Linked DNA regions of Sus scrofa. The protein of the gene in region 2 interacts with the protein of the main gene of each other region in a pairwise test. Links are inferred from orthologs where the notes say so. Each region holds a gene or a part of one and is shown on either strand. Other genes may lie near its edges.

Region 1 (7,097 bases), about 33 Mb from region 2:
CCTGCTTTCAGGGCTCCCAGAACCTTCTCCTTGCCACCTCCCTTGCTCCCCTGGTGCCAGTTAGAGCTAGGAGGGAAGGGTAGGACAAAGTCCAGCCTTGTGCTCCCTGGCAAACATGTTTATCTGATTCTGGGGCTGGGCTGCCCCACGGCCTCCCTGCTCCCTCCCCCCAACACAGTCATCGCCCTCCTGAGAGAGCCACCTCCCTCTGCTTCTTCTCCAGAGAGAAGCTGCCCAGCCTTCCTTCACCAGGGCCTCTCCTGGCTCAGACTAAAGATTTACTACCTGTCCCAGTCCATCTGACCCCATGTGTCTATGTCTATCTTTATTTCTCTCACTCTCTCCTTCTGTCTCTGCCTCTCTATTTTCTGCTCTTTCTCCTACCCACCCCCCAACACACAGACATACACACGACAGACAGACAGACAGACATGGGCACACACACACAGAGTCTCGAAGAACCTGGCTTTTTTTCAGGACAGTTTCCCCAACTCAGAGCTAAGAGGCCAGGTCTCCAGGCATCTCATGCTTTCACTCTAATAGATTGAGAGTGAAACTAATCTGGGTTCGGATCCCGCCACTGCGACCTCGAACCTGGTGCGTGCACCCCCCAACTCCTCCCCTGTAACGTGGCCATAAATCCATGCCTGCCCGCCAGTGCTGTTGGGAGCACTGAATGCGTTTCTAATAGGAGTGAAACGCTGAGGCTAGCGCCTGGCACAGAATATGTGCTCAGTAAGTGGAAAAGTAAGGTTATCACTCTCATCAGCCATGTGGTCCTGAACCCCTGGTCCCCCCAGCAGAGAGAAGAGGGCCCAGGAGAGGGGAAGATCTGTCCACATCTCCTTCCTCCCCTGTTCTGGGGTCAATCAGAGGTTCAAGTCTTGGGGCCTTTTGCTCACTAGCCCACGGGGTTTCAGTGGGTCCAAAGCTGCGGAGCTGAGAGACCAGCCCAAAGGGCCACTCCTCTGGAGGGGGCCCAAGTTCTCAGGGTGAATTTCAGGTCAGCCACTCAATCTCCGGGTGGCCCTGGGAAGTTGCTTAACTTCTGTGTGCCTCAGTTTCCTCAACTCTGATATGGGGCTAATAACATTTCCTAGGTTGTCAGGAGGAGAAAGGAGTTTATGCCTTTGTAAGCCCTGTGTAAGCCCCAGAGCACTGCATGGAAGTGAGGTGATTGTCATGTTCCCAGCAAGACTGACAGGGTAAAGAGGGAGATGAAAGTATCAAAGACCAGCACGCAACCTCAGGGACCTAGGTCCAAGTCCTGGCCTTACTGCTTTGCAGAAGTTATCTTGGGCAGGTCTCTCTGAGCCTCACTTAGCTCATCTGTAAAATGGGATCACCGGCCACAGCAACCATTTGCTGCTCTTAGGTGTTATAACCCCATACATAAGCGTTATCATCAGCGCCACCTTGCAGAGAACACTGGGGTTCAGAAAAATGAAATCATCTGCCTGAGCTAGAATGGGCAGAGCTAAGGTTTGAGCCCAGGCAGGCTGGCCTCATCAGGGGTGTCAGATTGTCCCCCCTTGGCCACTGTCTTCCTGGGTCTCAATGCCTTGTCACTGCGCAATAGAGAGTGTCAGAGACCTTCAAGATTAGGGTTTGAGCTACTCAAGGACTGGAGGCCCTGGGTACAGGTTCCTCCCTTGGCCATAGCAGCAGATGTCCCCAGAGCCTCAGGGAAACCTAGTCATGCATTCATTCATGCCCCATGTCAGCCACAGGGCTGGATATCAGATGTATGATTGGTGAACAGGGCTCTGAAAGAGCTTCTGTTGTCATGGCAGGAGATGAAAAACAAAGAAGATAAATAATGATCTTTTTATTTATTTTATCATTTAAACTTATCCTAAATAATGATTAAGTTTCAGGAGAAAGTCAATGAAAGCGGTGGAGGAGGGAGTGACTGGGGGGGACTTAATTTCAGAAGGGTGGTCAGGGAGGGCCTCCCTGAGGAGGTGCTATTTGAGCAGAAAGAGAAGAAGGAGTTGGCCCTGAGAAGAGCTGGAAAGAGGGCTCCAGGCAGAAGGCACAGCATGTGCAAAGGCCCTGAGGTGGGGATCAGCAAAGTCAGTGTAGTGTAACTGGAGGGAAGGGAGGGAGAGAGGGAGAGAGGTCCCTTAGGAAGAGGGCAGGGAACCAGGGCAGGGAGTTGGAATTTTACTCATTGTCCAGGAAGGGAAATGGAGGCAGAAGGAGAAGAAGAGACTTGCCCAAGGTCACACTTAGTCACACTTGGCTTCCAGGGGAAGTTCTGCCTCTTCACCATCCTTTCCAGCCTCAACCTCTCTCTCTGCCCAGGTCTTCATGGGGGGTTGCCCACCCTTCTCCAGCCTATGCCCTGAGGCTTGAGGCCCCACTTTCCCCCCTCAGGGCGTTTTCAGGTCCCTTTTGTTACCTGAACAATAAGTAACCCAGGTAGTTAGTTATAAACTCCACAGGAACAAGGAGCTGGTTGATAATTTATAGCAACATCTCAAATTTAAATGGAAAGTAAATAGCATGCTGTTAGCATTAAAGAAAACCCGATGGGGTGGGAGGGAAGCACTCCAGCCTCCTCACAGCTTGGGGCACCTCGCTCTCTCCCCAGCCCCTTCTCCCAGCTGCCTGTGAGCCCCTCTCCCCTCCTGGCTCTTCGCTCCATGCTGCTTCTCCAGGTCTCTCTCTCCATCTCTTCCTCCAGGTGTCCCCTCTCCCTCAGCTTCCAGGTCTCTGCTGGTCCCCAGGGAGCACTTTGACCCCTGCTCCCCACTCAGGACCTGTGGATCAAGACTTCCCCCCACCCACCGTCTCACCAAAGGGGCTGCTGACCAAGAGGCCCCACCCAGCCAGGTAAGGCCTTTGGCACCCCCTGCCCCCACTCCCCACCGAAAGCCCCTCATCCCATCTGGGGCCCTGAGCAGGTCTGGCCCAGCTCCACCCTGGGTCGGCTGATGCCTGACTTTTTGCCCCTCCCCTGCAGCCGACAGGGCCCTTTGCCCTCGTCTTCCTGCCAAGTCAGGGGGCCCTGGCTGCTCCCCTGCCCCCTGCCCGGGCCTACACAAGGCCTGGCAGACCCAGAGGGCCCCTTGAGGTGGGGATCCAGCCCTCCCCCACCCCAAGCTGGGATCAGGACCTTGGACAGAAAAGAGATGGCCCCTGGGACTCTTTCTCAGACCCCTCAGCCACCCCCTCAGCTGGCCCCTTGCCCCCCGGCACAGCCATTGAGGGCATCAAAGAGGGTGGGGTGGAGTCTGAGGTGGGTGGCCTTAGTCAAGCTACTTCCCCGCTCTGAGCCTCAGTTCCCCTGGTCTGTGAAGCAGTGATCCCTGGCTTCCTCCGGAGTTCATCTCAACACTGCCTGAAATTACACATGAGAAACCTCCACAGGGCTTCTGCCCAGCCCTTGGGGTGGAGGTTACAGAGCCTTAGAGGAGGGGCCGTCCCTGCAGCCCCCAGGCCCCCCTTCCCTCACCTCTAGCCTCCCCATCCCCCACCCCTGCTGGGTGGGAAGTCGGTTGGCTCAGGCTGCCCCAGGCCACCAGCCCTACAAGTTAATGATCACAGGCCTTATCAGAGCCTTTTGCCATTTATAAATTTATAAAACAAAAGAGAAATAATAAAGCCTGTGGGTAATTAGTAACCAGGTCAGCTCTGCTGAGGAGAGGGGAGGCATTGGGCTCAGACCCACTGAGATCTCTGGGAGCTGGGGAGCCAGCCAGGGGGTGGGCGTGCAGAGCAGGGAGGCCCCTGGTGAGGTAGGGGCCTGAGGCTGTGCTGGAAAGGGGAGCACTTCCCGCCCTGAAGAATCTGTTTCCCTCAGGTAAGAAAGACCCCAGCTCTCCTGGCTGAATGCTTGAGTTCTGGGGAGGCCAGGGGAGCCCCCAAAAACCCTATCCTGGGCTCCCCCTCCCCAGTGCTGCGTCCTGGTGCCTAGCAGGGGAGTTAGGGTTTGGGGAATAGAAATGGTCATGATGGCTAAAAATAACCCCTCTCCCCACATTTGTCCGGGCCCTTGAATCATGGACTCTCCTGCTCTGTCCCTGTCTCAGAGCTCCCCTGCAGCATGATCCGGGCGGAACGCCTTAGCTCATGGGGACTCAGGACCCTGCCGAGAGCAGGGAAGGGGACGGAAGCCTCCAACCTCCAAGCCAGGATCCCCACCCCACCCCCTTCCAAGCTCTCGTGGGCCCTGTCCCCCTTCCCAACAATCATGCTAAAAGCCACCACTCACGGGACTCTAGACTGGGAAGGGCTGGTCAGGAGCTGAGGGTAGACCCACTGGGCTCCTTGGGAGCTGGGACAGGGCAGGGGTCCTTACTGCAGAAGGGTCTCCACCACAGCTTTCTGGTGCGCCGCCTCCTCTGGGCTGAGGTTCTCCAGCTCTTTGAGGATGGGTGGTGTGAAGTCTTCCCCATCGTCGTCCGTCTCGTCCTCGGAGCCCCTCGTCTCCCCCAGCCCATTGGGCAGCTCCGCAAGTTCTCCTCGTGCACCACCGCAGGACTCCCCCTTGTCCAGGGCACCATCTCCGGCCAGAAGGTAGGGCCCTGGCTCACCCAACGCCTGGATCAGCGCCTCTTTGCTCAGGCCCGACTCGAGCAGGGCCGCCAGGAGCTCCGTCTGGAGCTGGCTCAGCTTGGAGACCATGGCTCCACTAGCGCTGGGCCACGCGGCCCCAGGACTGCGAGCCGCCGCCTCCCCCACCGCGTGGGCTGGCCGGCCAGCAGGCAGGCCCCAACCAGGCTCCTTACACCTGCTGCCCCCCAAAACCCCACTAGCCAAGCCCTGTGGGCACCCCCAACCCCCAACCCTGGCCCCAGTGGCCAGTGAATCAGGGCCCCTGCCCGCTCTGTTTACATTGGAGCTGGGGAAATTCTCCAAGGTTCATATTTATCCGTGTGCTTAGCGAAGGGACTGAACTTTGGACTTCACCCTGCAAAATGCAGGCCTCATGGCAGCGCAGAGGGACAGAGAGCTGTGGCCTTCAACGGGAATGGGCAGAGCGGAGGGTGGGGGAGGTGGTGGTGGGGGGCCCGGGGCAGCTGAGACGGAAGTGTGGGGAGCCAGGGAGGCCTCTGGGTGACCAGCATCTGTCCTGCCCCCAAGGACCTCATAGGGATCAGGCTGAGGCAGGAGAGCAAAAACAGCAGGTTTCCCTTGGGAACAGAAGCAGCAGGGAGTTCTAGGCCAGTGGACCAGCCCTCCTCAAGGGCAGGCTGATCACATCCATGTGATCCCTCCCACCTTCTCCTGCCAGCCCCCGCGCCAGGCCCCCCAGGAAGAAAAATATGTTGACTTAAGTGCCATGGGCTGGGTCTGTAATGTGTGTCACTACCCCAGTGCAGGCCCCTAACAGCTGTGAGCAGGTATGGGGATTGTGCCCATTTCTCAGAGGAGGAAACGGAGGCTCTGAGAGGGTGAGCAACTTGCCCAAAGTCACACAGCCAGAAGGGACAAGAGTTAAGGAGTAGGAGTAGGGTGAGACCAGTCAAGCAGTTGGCGCAGGCGCAAATTTTAAGGGAACACCAGAAAACCCAGCAAATCAAGATAAAAAAATATTTTAAAACAATATAGTAAACATTCAAAATTAAGGCAAAACTGGAGTTCTCATCGTGGTGCAGTGGAAACGAATCTGACTAGGAACCATGAGGTTGCGGGTTCGATCTCTGGCCTTGCTCAGTGGGTTAAGGATCCGGCGTTGCCGTGAGCTGTGGTGTAGATCGCAGACATGGCTCGGATCTGGCGTTGCTGTGGCTGTGGCACAGGCTGGCAGCAACAGCTCCGATTAGACCCCTAGCCTGGGAACCTCCATGTGCTGCGAGTGTGGCCCCCAAAAGCCAAAAACAACAACAAAATTAAGGTAAAACCCAAGGATTCAAAAGTCCACACTAAAACTTACACATGAATGTTCACAACAGTGTTATTCAAAATAGCCAAAAGATGGAGAAAACATAACTATCCATCAGCTAATGAATAGATAGAAGAAATGTGGTCTATCTGTGCAGTGGCATATTATTTCACCATTGAAAAGGATTGAAGTCCTAGAGTTCCCTTGTGGCACAGTGGGTTAAGTATCTAGTGTTGTCACTGCAGCAGCTTGGGTTGCTGTTGTGATGAAGGTTTGATCCCTGGAAAGAAAGAAAGAAAGAAAGAAAGGAAGAAAGGAAGAAAGGAAGGAAGGAAGGAAGGAAGGAAGGAAGGAAGAATTAAAGTCCTGATTCATGCAATGATAGGGGTGAATCTAGAAAACATGCTAAGTAAAAAAGTCCAGACACAAAAGATGTGTATGATTCCATTTATAGGAAATGTCCAGAATAGGCATATCCATACAGACAGAAAGTAAATTAGTGATTGCCAGGGGCTGAGGTCAGCAGACAGGGAATTCTGCTTAATGGGTGCGGGGTTTCTTTGGGGGTGATGGAAGTGTTCTGATATCGATTGGGTGATGTTACACAACTTTGAATATACTAAAAACCAGTGAACCTTGCACTTTATTTTTATTTTTATTTTTTTTATTTTCATTTTTGGCTGCCCCTCAGCATATGGAGTGTCCAAGCCAGGGATCAGATCCCAGAGCCGCAGTCACAGCCTAAGCGGGAACTCCTAACCATGCACTTTCAAATGGCAAATTTTATGATATACAAATCAATAAATTGTATGTTTTCATTAATGCAAAAAATCTGTGATGAACAAAAGAAGCATCACAGTTTTTTAAGTAAAGGTAAGTTACAACATCCACTCACCTCCCACTGATCCCAGCCCTGGCCAGAAACTCAATCACACACCCCCACCCACCTCTTCCCTCCTCAGGTTGGAGCCTGGACACAAATTCCTGCCGTCTCTCCCCTGAGGTGGCCCTAAGCTCTCAGAACCAGGGGTGCAGGCCATTGCCTGGAGTAGACAGGGTGGTGCTGAGGGGCTGCCCCCCCACCCCCGGCAGGGTCGTCTCTCAGGGGTCATGCATGGCCAGAAACCCCGCCCTGCAGGCCAGGCCAGCGAAGGGAAAGAGGGCTGATCAAGTCTTCATTTTTGCACCCACCTAACAAGCTCGGCAATTATGAGGCCTGTGAAGCCACTGAGGACTTGAAATGTGGCTTATGCCTCTGGCTGAA
Region 2 (7,113 bases):
ATTAAAAAGAATGAAATACCAGCATTTTTTGCAACATGGATGGACCTAGAAACTATCATGCTAAGTGAAGTCAGCCATACAATGAGACACCAACATCAAATGCTTTCACTGACATGTGGAATCTGAAAAAAGGACAGACTGAACTTCTTTACAGAACAGATGCTGACTCACATTGAAAAACTTATGGTCTCCGGAGGAGACAGTTTGGGGGGTGGGGGGATGTGCCTGGGCTGTGGGATGGAAATCCTGTGAAATCAGATTGTTATGATCAATATACAACTACAGATGTGATAAATTCACTTGAGTAATTAAAAAAATGGAAAAAAGGTTTACAAATGAACTTCTTTGCAGAACAGAAATAGACTCTCAGACTTTCAAAACCTTGCAGTTACCAAAGGGGATGGGGTGGGGGGGAGGGAGGATGGCCTGGGCGTTGGGGATTGGCATATGCACACTGAGGCATACGGAATGACTGACCAGCAGGGACCTGCTGTGCAGCACAGAGAACTCTACCCAATACTTGGTGATAATCTATGTGGGGAAAGAAACGGAACGAGAATGGCTGTGCGTACACGTAGAACTGAATCACGTTGCTGTACAGCAGAAATGATCACAACCTTGTACATCAACTATACTTCAACACAACGTAAAACAAAAGTTCCAGGTGTGGAGAGCCCAAGACCCGTCTCCCCACCCTCTGCTTCCCGAGCATGACGCTTTCCAAATAAACTGGAAACTGGATTGGTGTAGCGTCTGAGAGTCACGACTAACAGGACTTTCGGGGAGGGAACACGTCCAGAGTGTGACCCCCATCCGCTCAGAACACTCCGTCCCACCCTGGCGCCATACCCTATTGAAGTCTTTGAAATGAAACTGCTTGAAGATGGCATCCCGGCCTTCCAGCTCGTTCCACCCCACGGCCCGCAGGTTTGGCAGCAGCTGGTCCCTCTCCTCCGCACTTAGCCTGTGCGCTTTGCCAGCCTAGGAGAGGGAAAACACACAGGCCCACGGGCATTTGTTTGAACAGGACAACAGAGAGGGCCCTGGACCTTTGGGGACATTCAGCCAGCCTCCAGTGACAGTGACGCAGTCAAAGGGCAGCTGGTCTAAAGCAACAGACTGGGAGGTGGGGCTCTGGCTCGAGCACGGATAGGTTCTTAGAGAACAGACGGTCCTGAGGTGTGATGCAAATCATTGGGCCAGAGAAACACGCCTCCTCCATCTGCCCCCGAAGCCTTACAGAGGGTGGCCCTCCATAAAAACCAAACCAAACAAAAACTAGGTCTCTATCGTTAATAGGGGAGTAAAAGCAAATCAAGACCTTACTCACTCTGTATTGAAGAGGAAACGGGCCTAGAGAGGGGAGAAGGCCACCCTTCTCCCCGCTCCCCAGCCTCCATCAGTGAAAGCACAGGCCTCGTTCTCAAGGCGGGTCTCTCCGTCTGCATGCCTGGGGCCAGGCAAAGGGACCCAGGCTTAAGACATGTTCCAGGCAATTCTTAGTCACACCAGAGTCCACGACCCCCGGCAGCACCTCCCAGTGCGTACTGCACCGTGCTCCCACGCAGCCTCTGGTTCCCAGCTTCTGGGCCTACGTTTCTCAGATTCTCACCTTCTTTTCTATTGTGTCACCTCAGGAAGCCAGAGCCACAGAGCTCAGCCCCCAAAGCAGATGTAACTTGGCCAAGGGCAAAGGGCAAGGCCAGTGCCCCAGCCTATCACCCGCTGTGCACGCTGCCCAAACTGGCGCAGTTCAGGCCGTGAGTGGAACCCTCAGAGAACAGAAGCAAGCAAAGGTCAGTTTCCACCTCTAAGAAGATCCAGGTGGAGGCGCTTAAGGGATCCCAGTATTGAGGCCCCTAAAGTAGAACTACCTGAGGGTGGAAAGTGTAAGTGCTAAATGAGAAGTGAGTCAGTAAGGCCTGGGGAGAGCACTTGAGGAAGGTTAATCTGGCTTTTATGAGGCGGTCCTGGAAGACTGGAAGCCAGGTGGGCTTGAGGCGGTCATCTCCCCTGGCTCAACAGCTGAAAAAGGGCACAAGAACTGCCACTTCAGTGATCAGCAAGAGAAGCCAAGGGGCACTTTAGGACACTCCACTGTTACTAAAGGAATGACATCTCCCTTTTGTTTTTGTCTTTTTAGGGCCGCACCCACGGCATATGGAGGTTCCCAGGCTAGGGGTCTAATCAGAGCTGTAGCTGCTGGCCTACACCACAGCCACACAACACAGGATCGGAGCCGTGTCTGTGACCTACACTACAGCTCTTGGCAATGCCCGATCTTAACCCACTGAGCAAGGCCAGGGATCAAACCTGAGTCCTCATGGTTGCTAGTTAGATTTGTTTCTGCTGTGCCATGACAGGAACTCCCGATGTCATCTGCCTTTTTAAAAGGAGACTTCCTGGGGGCAAGTAGGCTTGTGACAGGCCTTTAGGTTTGGGGTAGAACTGGGCTCTTATAACTCAACCTGTTCTCCCTCCTGAAAGCGCACATTCCCTCTGGACAACCCCGGCTTGGTCTGTCTCCTCTCCTGGGCTCCAGAAGGCCAGCGAGGGCAGTGGAGTCCTGCATCACCGCCCAAACCCGTCTCTGTTCCAGAGCCGGCCCTGTCTCAGTGGCTGATAAACCTGGTCCGTGTTTCCAGCCTCTAGTTCTCTGGCTCTGAAAGGAGGACATGTGCACTAGAGGAGCTCCTAGGAGGCTCCCCTTCCTCTTTAGAATCTTCGGGAACCCCCCCCCCACATTTCACAGCCTGGGGCTGAACTGAGGAGCCCCTCTGAGATCTGGGATCAGAGAGGGGGCAGGGGTGTGTTTGCTTAGTAAGTCACAGGTCAGCCCTGGCCTCAGCCTGGGCCCAGGGAGGCTGTGGGTGTTACTGATTACCTGCAGCCTACAGTTTTGGGGCCTCAGTGCACCTCACAATGGGCTCACTCACCACCTCCCCTCCACCCAAGTCATAGCCTTCAAAATGCCCTCCCAGGCCTCATCACAGCCCTAGTCGCTCCTAAGGCTTTGGGGCCTAATGCTTTGACTGCTTAGTAAAGCTTCCTGCTGTGCAGGCTGGCCTATCCTCCCAGGCCACATCTGAGCACAGGGCCTAAGGCTCCCCTCAGGGAAAGCTCAGGGCAGACGGTGGATGACTCTGAGCAATCATGTCACCCGTGGCTGGGCACAGGCCTCAAACTAGGTGCCCCCCCGGGGGGGCTGGCTCTCAGGTTGGGGGCAGCACACAGGGCTGAGCAGAAGTGCAAGAGAGAAGGGCAGTAAACAGGCAGGCAGAGGCACATGCAAATTCAGTCGCCCCGCCCCCTTTGCACACTCACAAGGCTTCCCCCCACCCCCGACCACCCGGTCCCTACCCTAGCCCCCAGTGTAGAACAGAATCATGCCACCAAGGAGGGCTACGTCTGCAGGCTCACTACGTCCCCTCCCCGCTGCCCGTCTCACTGCCCCACCCCCACCGGGAGAGCTCTCTAAGCAGGGCCTGCGCGGCCTTGAGGCCTCAGGCACAGATGGCCAGGGAGCCGGGGAAAGCCTGGGCTCCCGCCTCGCCGTCACCCAGACCTGCCACCGCCCCGCTTCCGACCTCAGCTTTCCCCCAGGGGACCACTGGCGGGGTGGGGTACCGGCGGGACAGAGACCCCGATTCCCCCAGGCCGGCGCGGCTGCTGTGCAAGGAGCTGGGAGGGACCGCCCCCCCGCTCCTGGCCGGGTCCCCTGGGCCGGCCTCGGCGGGCCCCTTCCTCTCCGCCGCACCCCCCTCCTAACCCGGCCGCCCCTCACCATGCCGGGCGGCGCAGACGCGGGCGATCAGCAGGTGGTAGCGGAGCGGAAGAGCGCGAAGCCCGGCGCACCGGGAAGCCGTCGGGCGGGGCAGCGCTCGGGCCGCCCGGGGCGGGAGCGAGGCCGGGCAGGGGCCGCCCACCCGTAATCATTAACTCCAGCTGCGGCTCCCTTCCAGGACTTTCCTCATTGCCAAGCTTGCAGCGAGGTCAGAGGTTAAGGACGCGTGGGCTCCTAACGCAGACTTGGGTTTATGCATCGCGCACTGCCCCTTACCAGCTGTGTGACCCTCGACGCCAGATTGCTTTTTCTTTTTTAGAAAAACGTCTTACTGAGGAATAAACCCACACAATACACTGCCCGTATTTAAAGTGTACAATGTGATGCCTTTTGGCATATGTATGCATCCTTGCAACCATCACCACGATGACGAGGACATGACCACAAGCCCTAAATTGCCTCCTCCCTCCTCAGAGATCTATTGACCTGCTGCCTTTACTATAGATTAGATTGCGTTTTCTGGAAGGCTATGTAAATGGAAATCATATGGGTTACCCTCTTTTTAGATCTGCCTCCTTTCACTCAGCGTAATTACTTTGAGGTTTACCCATGTCGATGCATATATCAATAGTTTTCCCTTTGATAACTAAGTAGAAATTATTTTACAGTATTATATTGTAATGGATATACTACAATTTGTTGGACTTTGGGTTGTTTCCAGTTTTTGATTAGTACAAATAAAGCTGCTAGGAAAGTTTGCCTGCAAGTCTTTGGATATATGCTTTAATTTTTCTTGGGGAAATACCTGGGAATGGAATGGCTAGGTCATAGAACAGGTATATGCTTATAAGTTGTTAGGAAACTGCCAAACTGCTTCTCAAAGTAGCAGGACTATTTTCCACTGCCACCAGTGGCATATGACAGTGCAGCTTCACCTTCACCTAGAGGGAATACTCCTAAGCCAATCTTTTTATTATTTAGCCATTCTAATTGGTGCACAGTAGTATCTCACTGGTGGTTTTCAGTTGCCTTAATGACTAATGATATTAAATATCTTTTCATGTGCTTATTTGCCAATGGTCAGTCATTGGTGAATTGCCTGTTCAAATTTCCTGCCCATTAAAAGTAATAGTTTGTTTTCTTATTGCATTTTGAGAGTTCTTCATTCTGAATACAAGCACTTTATCAGATATGTGATTTGGCATATTTCGTTTGCATTTCCACAATGTCTCTCAAAAGGCGAATGTTCTTGATTTTGATGACACCCAATTTATCAACTCTTTCTTTTATGGATTGGTATTTTGGTGTTGTAACTAGGAATCGTTGCCTAATCCTAGGTCACAAAGATTCTTCTCCTGTGTTTTCTTCTATATTTAATAGTTTTTCGTTTTATTTTACAGAATTTAGAGTGGTCTTTTTAAGTTGGTTTTTGGGAGCTATCTAGACATTAACTGCTTGTCGGTTCAGATATTGCAAATATCTTCCCATTCAGCCATCTGTACCCTGTCATCTTCCAGGATATCCTTTGTTGGCAGAAATCTTATACTTTGGGAAATGCCACAAAATTGGGTTGTGATGATTATTGTGCAACTATAAATGTAATAAAATTCATTGAGTAATTTAAAAAAGAAATCTTATATTTTGGTGTGGTAAGATTTATATTTTTTCCCCTAGAAATTTGTGCTTTTGAAGGTTTACTTGGCAAGTCCCGCCCACCCCTGCCACAAAAATATAGTCCCTTTTCCTTCTGCTAACTTTACAGTTGGGAAAACTTAAGACGGTAGTATGAAAGGTCCCCTTTTACATGCAACTTGAAGCAGGATGTAGGCTAGCCTTCAAAGATGGCCCTTGAGTGAACCTTGACTTCCAGGATTCCTGCCTTATGGCTTCTGCTAATCATCCATCAGTCACAGGAGTGAGGCTTCCTAGCCGCCCAGACCTTCAGATGACTTCAGCCCCAGCAGACATCTGACTGCAGTCTCATGTGAGATCCCAAGTGAGAACACTGCCTGGCAGAAACAAGGCAACTCATGGAACCATGAGAAATAATAGGACATTTCAAGCCACCCAGTTTTGAGATTGTTTGTTCTGCAGCGATAGACAACAGAACAAATAAATTTCTAAATAAAAACTGGTACCTGGAAGTGGAGTATTAAGACTAACCTCAGACAGGTAGCATTAGCTTGGGAACCTTGGTGGGGAGAAGGTGGGAGAAGAGGTTTCAAAGACAGAGAGGATTTGGGCTTCAGCTCGCTAGGGTGTAGGAAGCTGGAAACTCTTACATCGACAATGAGAATAATACAAATTCATCACTTTTCTTTAGCTTGCCAGGGAGCTGAGGTCTCAGGACAGCCAAGTAGTCTGAATTCCAAGGGAGGCTGGACGCATAGGCGAGCTCACCTGTGCCAGGTGTGGGCAGGAGAGGGAGGACACACAGCCTCTATAAAAGTGGGTAAGAAGAAATCAGATAAAATTTTAACAATTTTTGCTGTTGGAAGCCAGGTGTGTGGAAGAGTTGGGGACCTGAGACACGGGGAGAGTTAGCACACAGGCACAGCTTTTAATTATGGATCTCCACTGAGAGCCAGGAGAAAGACAGGGGAAGGGCAATAGATGGAAGCAAATCCCCACCTCAGCTAAGCAGGGGATTGGTTGTTGCTGTGTGAAAAGGGCCAAAGGCTCAGACCTCTCCAGACCCTTGTCTTAAAGGAGCAGAAGGCTTAAATCACTAGGAGAAAGCCAACAAATTCTGTCACTCTCAGGGCCCAGATAAAGACACATTGTGGCTTCATTTCTGGTAGGAGGGGAAAAAAAAATCCCTCTATGCTGGGAGAGGGGCAGATAACAGTTCTGGGCCCCGGATCCTACACCAAAACTACTAGAGGCCAACAACTGCCAGAGGTTAGCTACCTCTGCAGAGGAGCAGAACACGCAGGCACAAGTCCAGCTACAGATATGAGGCAGTCTGGCTGCTGTGGGGGTGGGGGTAGGGGTAGGCAGGAACTCTGAGAAAGCTCCAGCACCCAGGGCAAAGGCCCACCTCCAGTCCCCCACCATGAATCTAGCAATAGTCGTCTATCACTGGGAGAAGGACAAGAGTGTGGGGAGTATGTGGAGAGATGCCTTCTTCCCGTGGGATCATTAGGGAGATGCCAACTGGTACCACAAAGAGATCCCCATGCATTCCTCTTAGAAAGACGAGGGAAAAAATGCCACCTGATAATACTGTGTGCTAATAAAGATGTGGAGTCACTGGAACTCTTGCACATTGCTGGTAGACAGATAAATGGTTCAGCTCCTTTGGAAAACGATTTGGCAATTTCTCAGGT
Region 3 (7,255 bases), on a different chromosome or scaffold from region 2:
CCTTTAAAGTTCCCATCTCCCAAAGCAGTAGGACAAGCTTTTCCTCTTTCATCCTAAAGCCCTGCTCAAAAGTCTGGAGCCCCAATCTCAGCCCTTCCATTAACTTATTACAGTAACTCCAAGCCACTTCCTCAAAATGCCCTGTATCTTATTTCTCCATCTTTAAGGGGCTCTTCCTGGGATAGATCATGATGGGAAAGATATAAAAAAGAATGTATATATATGTATAACTGAGTCACTTTGCTATACAGCCAGAAATGGCCTAACACTGTAAATCAGCTATACTTTAATGTAAAAATATTTAATACTAAAATGGGGCCATCATAGCAGCCCATCACTACTAGATCCCGTGGGAAGCAAAAACAAGAGTATTCCAGCTATACTCTGGCTTCCTCAATTTGGGGAAAGCTTAACCAAAGGGTTTTAGAACCCGTTTGGTTCGCGTTTGTGACCCACATCCTGAAGGTCTGTCTGTTGAGATATTTATACTTTTCTTTTTAAATTTCCATTGGAAAGGGTTGATACTGGATCCGCTCAAGATCTATAGTTGCAGTTACTTGGCGACCCATATTGATCAGAAGGTACAGACAAGGTAGATCTGGGCAGGAGGGTTCCAGGAAGTTGGTGGGTGTGAATGGTCAGATTACCTGGACACGCATAGGAAGTTTCCCCGTATTCTGTGCAACTTCCTGTATGTTCACAGAGTTGGCTGGGGGTAGGGGGAAGAACGGGTTTGCTGACACCTGAATTTTGAGAGATAAGGAAGCTTGAGAATCCGACTGGGCGGCACATGGTAGTCGGAACTGCAAATCAAAGCTTTGTTGTTAAAAGGGAAGTGATGGCTGGCTTTTTAATGGGTTTTTCCCAGCTAAACACAGAAACCGATCTTCATGACACTTGACTGCTTCTATCATGATAGCAAATGAGAGACAAAGAGTTTGTTCTCCGGGGACATTTACTCCGAACACTTCATTATCCCAGTTGAGGGGAGCTAGGTGGGCAGAAAATGTTCTCTCATTGGGCCGAATGGTGAGGGCAAGGGACTGCCATATGTCACAATAAACTAGAAGACAATAAGGTCAAAAGAAGGGCCATCGTCATTTTGACCCCTTTCCCAGGAAAGACACTGAGATGGTGTAAACCTCCCCCAGAGCTCCAAGCACACAACCACCCGTTTTTCGTGGGTGGCCCAGCGTGTGTTGAAAACCCTGGATGTAAGAGGCAGCCTCGATGCTCAGCAGCCTGACTTGGATCAGCCACCTCTGGAGGTTCAGCCCTCAGCCAGCAAAGGGATTTGATCCTGAGCTGCTGGCCCTCCCCACCCCCACCCCCACCCATGCTGAAATTCCCCTCTTCCTCCTAATCGTCTTTTAAAGGTGGGAAAGGAAGGTGAATTTGCTTGGAAGCTCCTTCACAAATTCCCTGTTCTTTCTGAAAGGTTGTCTTTAATCTCCTGGTCGCCAACCCCAGCACTGGAGCTGCCTGATTCTGAGAACCCTAAGCCTCCAGAGGGGCTAGCTTTTTACTACCGGGAACAGGCTTCCTGCCTTCCCAGAAGGAAAAGTTTGAACACCATCACCAGACGACAGGGTCTCACAGGTGTTCTCATTCAAGGTATACGACACCCAGGACCCCCCCCCCCCACTTGAGTATCAGTATTTCACAGATGATGAACCTCAGGCGTGGTGGGAGAGGGGGCCGGTAAGGGAGTGTCCTCTGCCCTAGGAACTATAGGCCTGTGAGCGACCCATGCTAAAAAGCCCCTTCCCCTCTTCTTCTGCAGATCTGGGCCAGCCTGGAGGGTCTGGGTGTGCCTCCCGCATCCTTCTTTCACCCTGACGCCTCAGGGCGGTGCAGGTGAAACTCCGATAGCGTTGAAAGGTTCTCAGCTTCCTTCCTGGGCCAGGCAGGAGTGGAAAAAAACCTCCTTTCCCTCAGTGGTTTTGTGGGCACCTTCCCAACTTGGCATGGAAGACGGCTGCCGGCTGCTGTGACCTCGAGTCTGCAGAGCGCCATCCCTGACCCCAGGAACCGCTGTGTCCTGGATCTGCAGAAAAAAAGCAGAAATCAGTAGGCCCGGAGGACAGGCGGCTCCAACTATCCATCTAACTGCAGGCCGAGCTTTGCTTTCACTGCCAGAAAGGAGGCCCTGCGATACTAGTTTTGCCGCCAAAGCCGAGGTGCTTGGATATTCTGGGTGTAAGCCAGAGGGCCCAGTGGCTCAGGCGTCCAGCTCCCCGGCGGCTTGGCTAGGCTGGGTGCGGTGCAGCCCGGGGCTCGGGGAGCTCAATTTTGGCTACTCCCTCTGGCCATAAATTAGTCGGTGCCTCCTCCCCGCTTGCTCCGGGGCCAGCAGTTCTGCAAATCTAAACAGCCAGACCCGGCTGGTGAGAGCCTGGGGTCCGCAGAGCGGTAACTCAGGTAGAGCTTACGTGGAGCCCCTGCGATCCACAACCTAACACGCCCCCCTTCCCCCGGGTCTCCGCGTCCGTCCCCCTGCGGTCAGTTTCTCCTCCGCGCGCGGTTGACTTTCCCGGCCCACGGCCTGCGTCGCTCGGGGAGGCTCGGAGGATCTCTGCTCTCCGCATTCTCCTCCATCTCCTTCTTCCAAGAGCACCCCAACTTCCTCTAGCTCTCACCTGAACCCCGAAGCACAGTTTCTTCTCTGCGGACTAAAGGCGGACTCGCAGCTTGGTGGAAAAGTCCCGGAGCCTTCCACACTAGGCTGCAAACGACTTGTTTAACAAGTCCAAAGTTCAGCTAAAGTCTGGCTGCTAAACACAACCGGTGCAAGAAGGCCTTCAGCCCCCCGGGGTGAGTACAATGGACCCTGGCAGCCCCGCTCCCGGCCGGGTCTCCAGCTCTCCAGGTCTGCCTCTCGGGTTCTCCCTCATTCGGTTTTCCCCCCTCCCCACGCCATTTGCATCTTGCCGAAAGCCAGGCCCTCCCCACTAATTTGCATATCTTATATGGCCTAATGGTGGCGATCATGGCAAGTTAGAAGTTTTCTGACTCCTCTCGGAGGAGACTCCGGGACCCCGGGGAGTAACAGGTGTCTGGAGGCTAAAGGGTGGAGGGGGTTCCTGGACTTGGGGTTCGCCTGTGAAACTCCCCTCCACCCTCCTCACCGGCACCCACCCACCCACCCCCTCACCCCCTTCTTTTTCTGTCCTTGGAAAATGGTGTCCAAGCTCACGTCGCTCCAACAAGAACTCCTGAGCGCCCTGCTGAGCTCCGGGGTCACCAAGGAGGTGCTGGTCCAGGCCTTGGAGGAGTTGCTGCCATCCCCGAGTTTCGGGGTGAAGCTGGAGACGCTGCCCCTGTCCCCTGGGAGCGGGACTGAGCCGGACACCAAGCCGGTCTTCCACACTCTCACCAACGGCCACGCCAAGGGCCGCTTGTCCGGGGACGAGGGCTCCGAGGACGGGGACGACTATGACACCCCTCCGATCCTCAAGGAGCTGCAAGCGCTCAACACCGAGGAGGCGGCGGAGCAGCGGGCGGAGGTGGACCGGATGCTCAGGTAGGCGCGGACCCAGGTGCGGAGTGTGCGCCCGAGTCCCTTGAGCCCTGGGCCTTGTGCCTGAACGACACTGCGCCCGACCACTCTTGCCAAGCCTGTTTCCCACCAGAGAAGTCCCCCGGGGGGCGCTCCGCTTCTCTCGCAACACCTGGACCCCTCCCAGTCCTTCAACCGGACGACCCGAGCCCCGAGGCTTCATGATCCCCTGCCCAGGCCAGTGCCCGGGACCGGCGGGGCCTCCCGGGCGGGCTGGGGCTCGGCCTGGGAGAACCCGAGCTGTGGAGCCCTTTGCCCGGAGGTTTGCCCATGCCGCTGAAGGTGCGAGTAGGTGCAGTGAAATCGCAGCGATTCTCAGGGCCCGCCTCAGCCCCAGGCCAAGCATTTCTCCTTGGTGCCTCTTGTGTGGTCCGGGAAGACAGAGGCTGGCTTCAGGCACAGCGTCCTGCCACTCTTTGCAGAGGGCCAGGGGGCACACAGGCCGGGGTCCTGGGGGGCGAGTTCTCTGGCAGGCACTCCCATCTGCAGCGCCCGAGTCAGGCCCCAGGATTACCCGGAATCCCCAAAGCCGGTTTAGATTTGCGAAAGGAAATGTGTGTGCACGTTGCGGGGTCAGAGTGGACCTGCAAGGGGCAAAAGAAACCACGTTTCAAAGCAGAGAGAGGGGTAAATGCGGCTAAGACCCCAGTTCGCAGCGGATTTGGTCGGAGAAAAGAGGGCGTATCCGGATCTCGCCGCCGACACCCCGGCGTCCCCGGGGAATCCAGGCAGGCTGGCCGGTGGTCTATCTCCTGGTCGCGGGACGTTTGCTAAGCCTTCCCGACCGGCCTAGGCCTTTGACAGCTGGTTACTAATTATCCAAGGAGCCGAGCGATTCCCTAAGACCGCACATCCCTCCCGGCCCCTCCGCTTGAGGACCGAGTCCCTCGCTTGGCCTCAGACGCTTCAGCGCCGCGGTCTCAAGGCAGGGCCAGCAGCAAAGTCGTGCCCGGGCAGCCTCAGTCGCTCGCCGGTAGTGGCAGTTTGGGATGGGATATGACCTTGCATTTGAATTTGCTACCTGGGGACCTGGCAGCTTACTCTTCAGCAAAAACAGTCAGGGGAATTTCTAGATTTTTTTTCTAATTTCCCAAAAGTATTTTGCTGCCGTTCGTAGGTTTGAGGTTCCTCCCTCGCGGTTTCCCCCCGTAGCGGCGGTTTCTCCTGTGCCGGATTAGGGTGCAGGAAGGTGAGAGGGGTCAGAAGAGGGGCGGCTGGGGCACCAGAGGGGCGGGGAGGGTGACCGAGGCCCCGCAGCCCCGCCGACCTCTCGCCGCCCGCCACCCAGGCCCCTGGGGCCTAGGCCCATCGCCAGGCCGCAGGCGCCCGCTTCCCAGAGGGGTTTTGGAAGGACCTGGGAGGCCCGGAGGCGACCTGGGGCGCCCCTCGCCACCCAGCCCCGGGCCGGGCTGGACGCGGCAGAGATGTAATATAAACTGCAGCACGTGGAGTTAGGGTGTTATTAATTTATTTCTATAAATCATCAACAGAAAGATACACAAAAAGTCGTGATTAGGTTGAACAGAGAGGCGGGTTATTCATTGGTGAAGTTGTAAACGCGGCTTCGAGGGGGAAGGAAAGAAGGACGCGGGGCTCCTCGCGGCTCCGGGCGCACAAGCACCGCGTTGCGGAACCCTCCAGGCCGAGCCCCGCGCCCGACACTGCAGGCCCCGGCGGGCGGAGAGCCAGGCCCAGCCCCGGGTCCTGGACCCCAGCGCTTTTCGCGGCGCAGAGACGCCGGCTGCTGGGGGCAGGAGCGAGGCTGGGGGGCCCGGGACCGCCGCTGGGGGCGGCTGGGGGGAATTTCAGGACAGACCCCTTTCCCCAGCGGGTGCTGCCTTCCCTTCCGCACCTTCGGGAGTGGGCGACTTGATTAAAGTAATTTTTCAAGAAATCGCTGGCGGTCCCCTGGGTCAACGCACAGTCGGCTTCCAAGGTCCAGATGCACGCACACCCTTTTTTGGCCCACCCTGCTCCCCTAAGGTGGAAAGAAAACACGGGGCAAGTCACTTTGGGGAGCGCCCAGCCGCTCTTTCCATCTCCTAGAAGAGAAAGCGAGAAAGGAAGGTCGCGGGTAATGTGGTGCCCGTCGCGGCCCTGGCCCTAAGCTAGCGTTCGGTGGCGGCTTTTGGAAAGTCGGTTGCTCCCCCGAGAAGCCAGCTGAGGTTTCTTAAGAAGCGTGGCGATCTGAGCCGGGTACAGGGCTTCTCTGTTCGTGGGCGGCCGAGGCATTGTTTGGGAAGGAGCGTCCTGGGCCGGCCGGACGCCGGGGTCCGGCGCTTGACACCTGCTCCGGCAGCACAATACCGGCTCGCGCTTCTCCCGATCTGTTTATCAGGGTTGAGGACCTGTAATCGCCGGCTGTATTTTCAAATTTAAAAAACGAACTACCTCCGGGCTCTTGAATCCGTGAGAATTCTGTGATCAGAGCTGTAAAGGTGTAACTACGCCATCTTACCCCCAACTCTAGTCCCTTAATGCGGACTGAAATATTTGATGTTGTTTATAGGGTTTTCCTGGGCTTTTTTTTTTTTTTTTTTTTTTTTAACCTTCCCAGTGGTTAAGCTAATTCACTCTTTTTTTTACGGAATCCTTCACTGTTAGATACACTATTTTGTTAGGCTTCTTAGACGCACCAAATGAACACAAGCAAAGAAATTTAAACAAAACCAGAAAACTCAATCTGTCAAAGTAGCATGAACTTTTAAAATCCAAATCCTTTTGTTAACTTTCGGAGCTATCGTTCACATCCGTTGAAAGTGTTTTTCTACCTAAAAATATCTGTGGACATATTCACCAGAAATAAGGTTTTAAATGAATGCTGATATTTACACGAGTATGTTCAAAATGTTACATTAGTTTCCTCTTACTCAAGGTGAATTTTCCATGTTTGAAACCGGGACACAATTCCTCATTTTTTGTTCCTGTTGTTACTTTATTTTGTTGTATTACTTGGAAGTACCTTTAGAAATACTTGAGAAATATGCTAAGCTATATAAAATTAAACTTAAAAGTTTGCATTTCTCAAAAACATCTCTGTCAAAGCCTGTTTTCATGAATTTAATATCAGACTTGCTAGAATGATCATGACTTTTCAAATGCTTACAAAAACCTCAGTTTAATTGCTAGATTTTTAAAAATTCATTAAACAAAATTATTTCTTTGTCATATAGACATCGTTTAAAAATAAATCAGTTATTTCATATGCAACCCTGTATCTGTTTTGGCTTCTGCTTTATAGCATTTTTTATTGTTACCTCTGAAAGCAATTTTTCTCATTTTTTTCATGTTCTATCAGACTGTTTTATACATCAACATACATTAAAGGAATGCTGGGGGTTTTAAGTTAAATACACAGCTGCATTAAACAAATAGTATATGCGGATTATTGCCTCTTGAAAACTTTTGTTCTGTACTGGGCTCAGTTTTCTTAGTTTTTGTTTTCAATTTTATCTCTTAACTTTTAAGCCACCTATTCAATAACCAAGAAGAGATACTGGCAGTGTTGAAAATATTTGGAATAAATTCAAAGGCACTAGTACATTGTTCTAAAGAAGCTTTGTGCATTACCTGTGTTTATGAGAAATGAAAAGTGTTAAGTTCTTATCCCAAGCTTGAAATCTGTGAGAAAGATGAACTTGTAGATACTTTTACCCTAGCAGCGGAGAAATGTAAGAATCCAGGAACACAGGGCAT

What was found.
Region 1: the proteins of PCBD1 (region 2) and HNF1A interact in binary tests that used the Homo sapiens proteins (3 or more experiments, as listed by UniProt). The link is inferred for Sus scrofa from reciprocal best matches to the Homo sapiens genes PCBD1 and HNF1A.
Region 3: the proteins of PCBD1 (region 2) and HNF1B interact in binary tests that used the Homo sapiens proteins (3 or more experiments, as listed by UniProt). The link is inferred for Sus scrofa from reciprocal best matches to the Homo sapiens genes PCBD1 and HNF1B.

What each region holds. Positions count from the first base shown.
Region 1 is NC_010456.5:40,866,501-40,873,597, reverse strand, and holds the start of HNF1A (hepatocyte nuclear factor 1-alpha), read right to left. Parts: upstream 4,780-7,097; 5' UTR 4,633-4,779; coding exon 4,307-4,632; intron 3,809-4,306; exon of another isoform or gene 3,310-3,808; intron 1-3,309. UniProt on the Homo sapiens protein: Transcriptional activator that regulates the tissue specific expression of multiple genes, especially in pancreatic islet cells and in liver. Binds to the inverted palindrome 5'-GTTAATNATTAAC-3'.
Region 2 is NC_010456.5:73,803,376-73,810,488, forward strand, and holds the start of PCBD1 (pterin-4-alpha-carbinolamine dehydratase), read right to left. Parts: upstream 3,873-7,113; 5' UTR 3,788-3,872; coding exon 3,785-3,787; intron 982-3,784; coding exon 850-981; intron 1-849. UniProt on the Homo sapiens protein: Involved in tetrahydrobiopterin biosynthesis. Seems to both prevent the formation of 7-pterins and accelerate the formation of quinonoid-BH2. Coactivator for HNF1A-dependent transcription.
Region 3 is NC_010454.4:39,197,105-39,204,359, reverse strand, and holds the start of HNF1B (hepatocyte nuclear factor 1-beta), read left to right. Parts: upstream 1-2,758; 5' UTR 2,759-3,179; coding exon 3,180-3,523; intron 3,524-7,255. UniProt on the Homo sapiens protein: Transcription factor that binds to the inverted palindrome 5'-GTTAATNATTAAC-3'. Binds to the FPC element in the cAMP regulatory unit of the PLAU gene. Transcriptional activity is increased by coactivator PCBD1.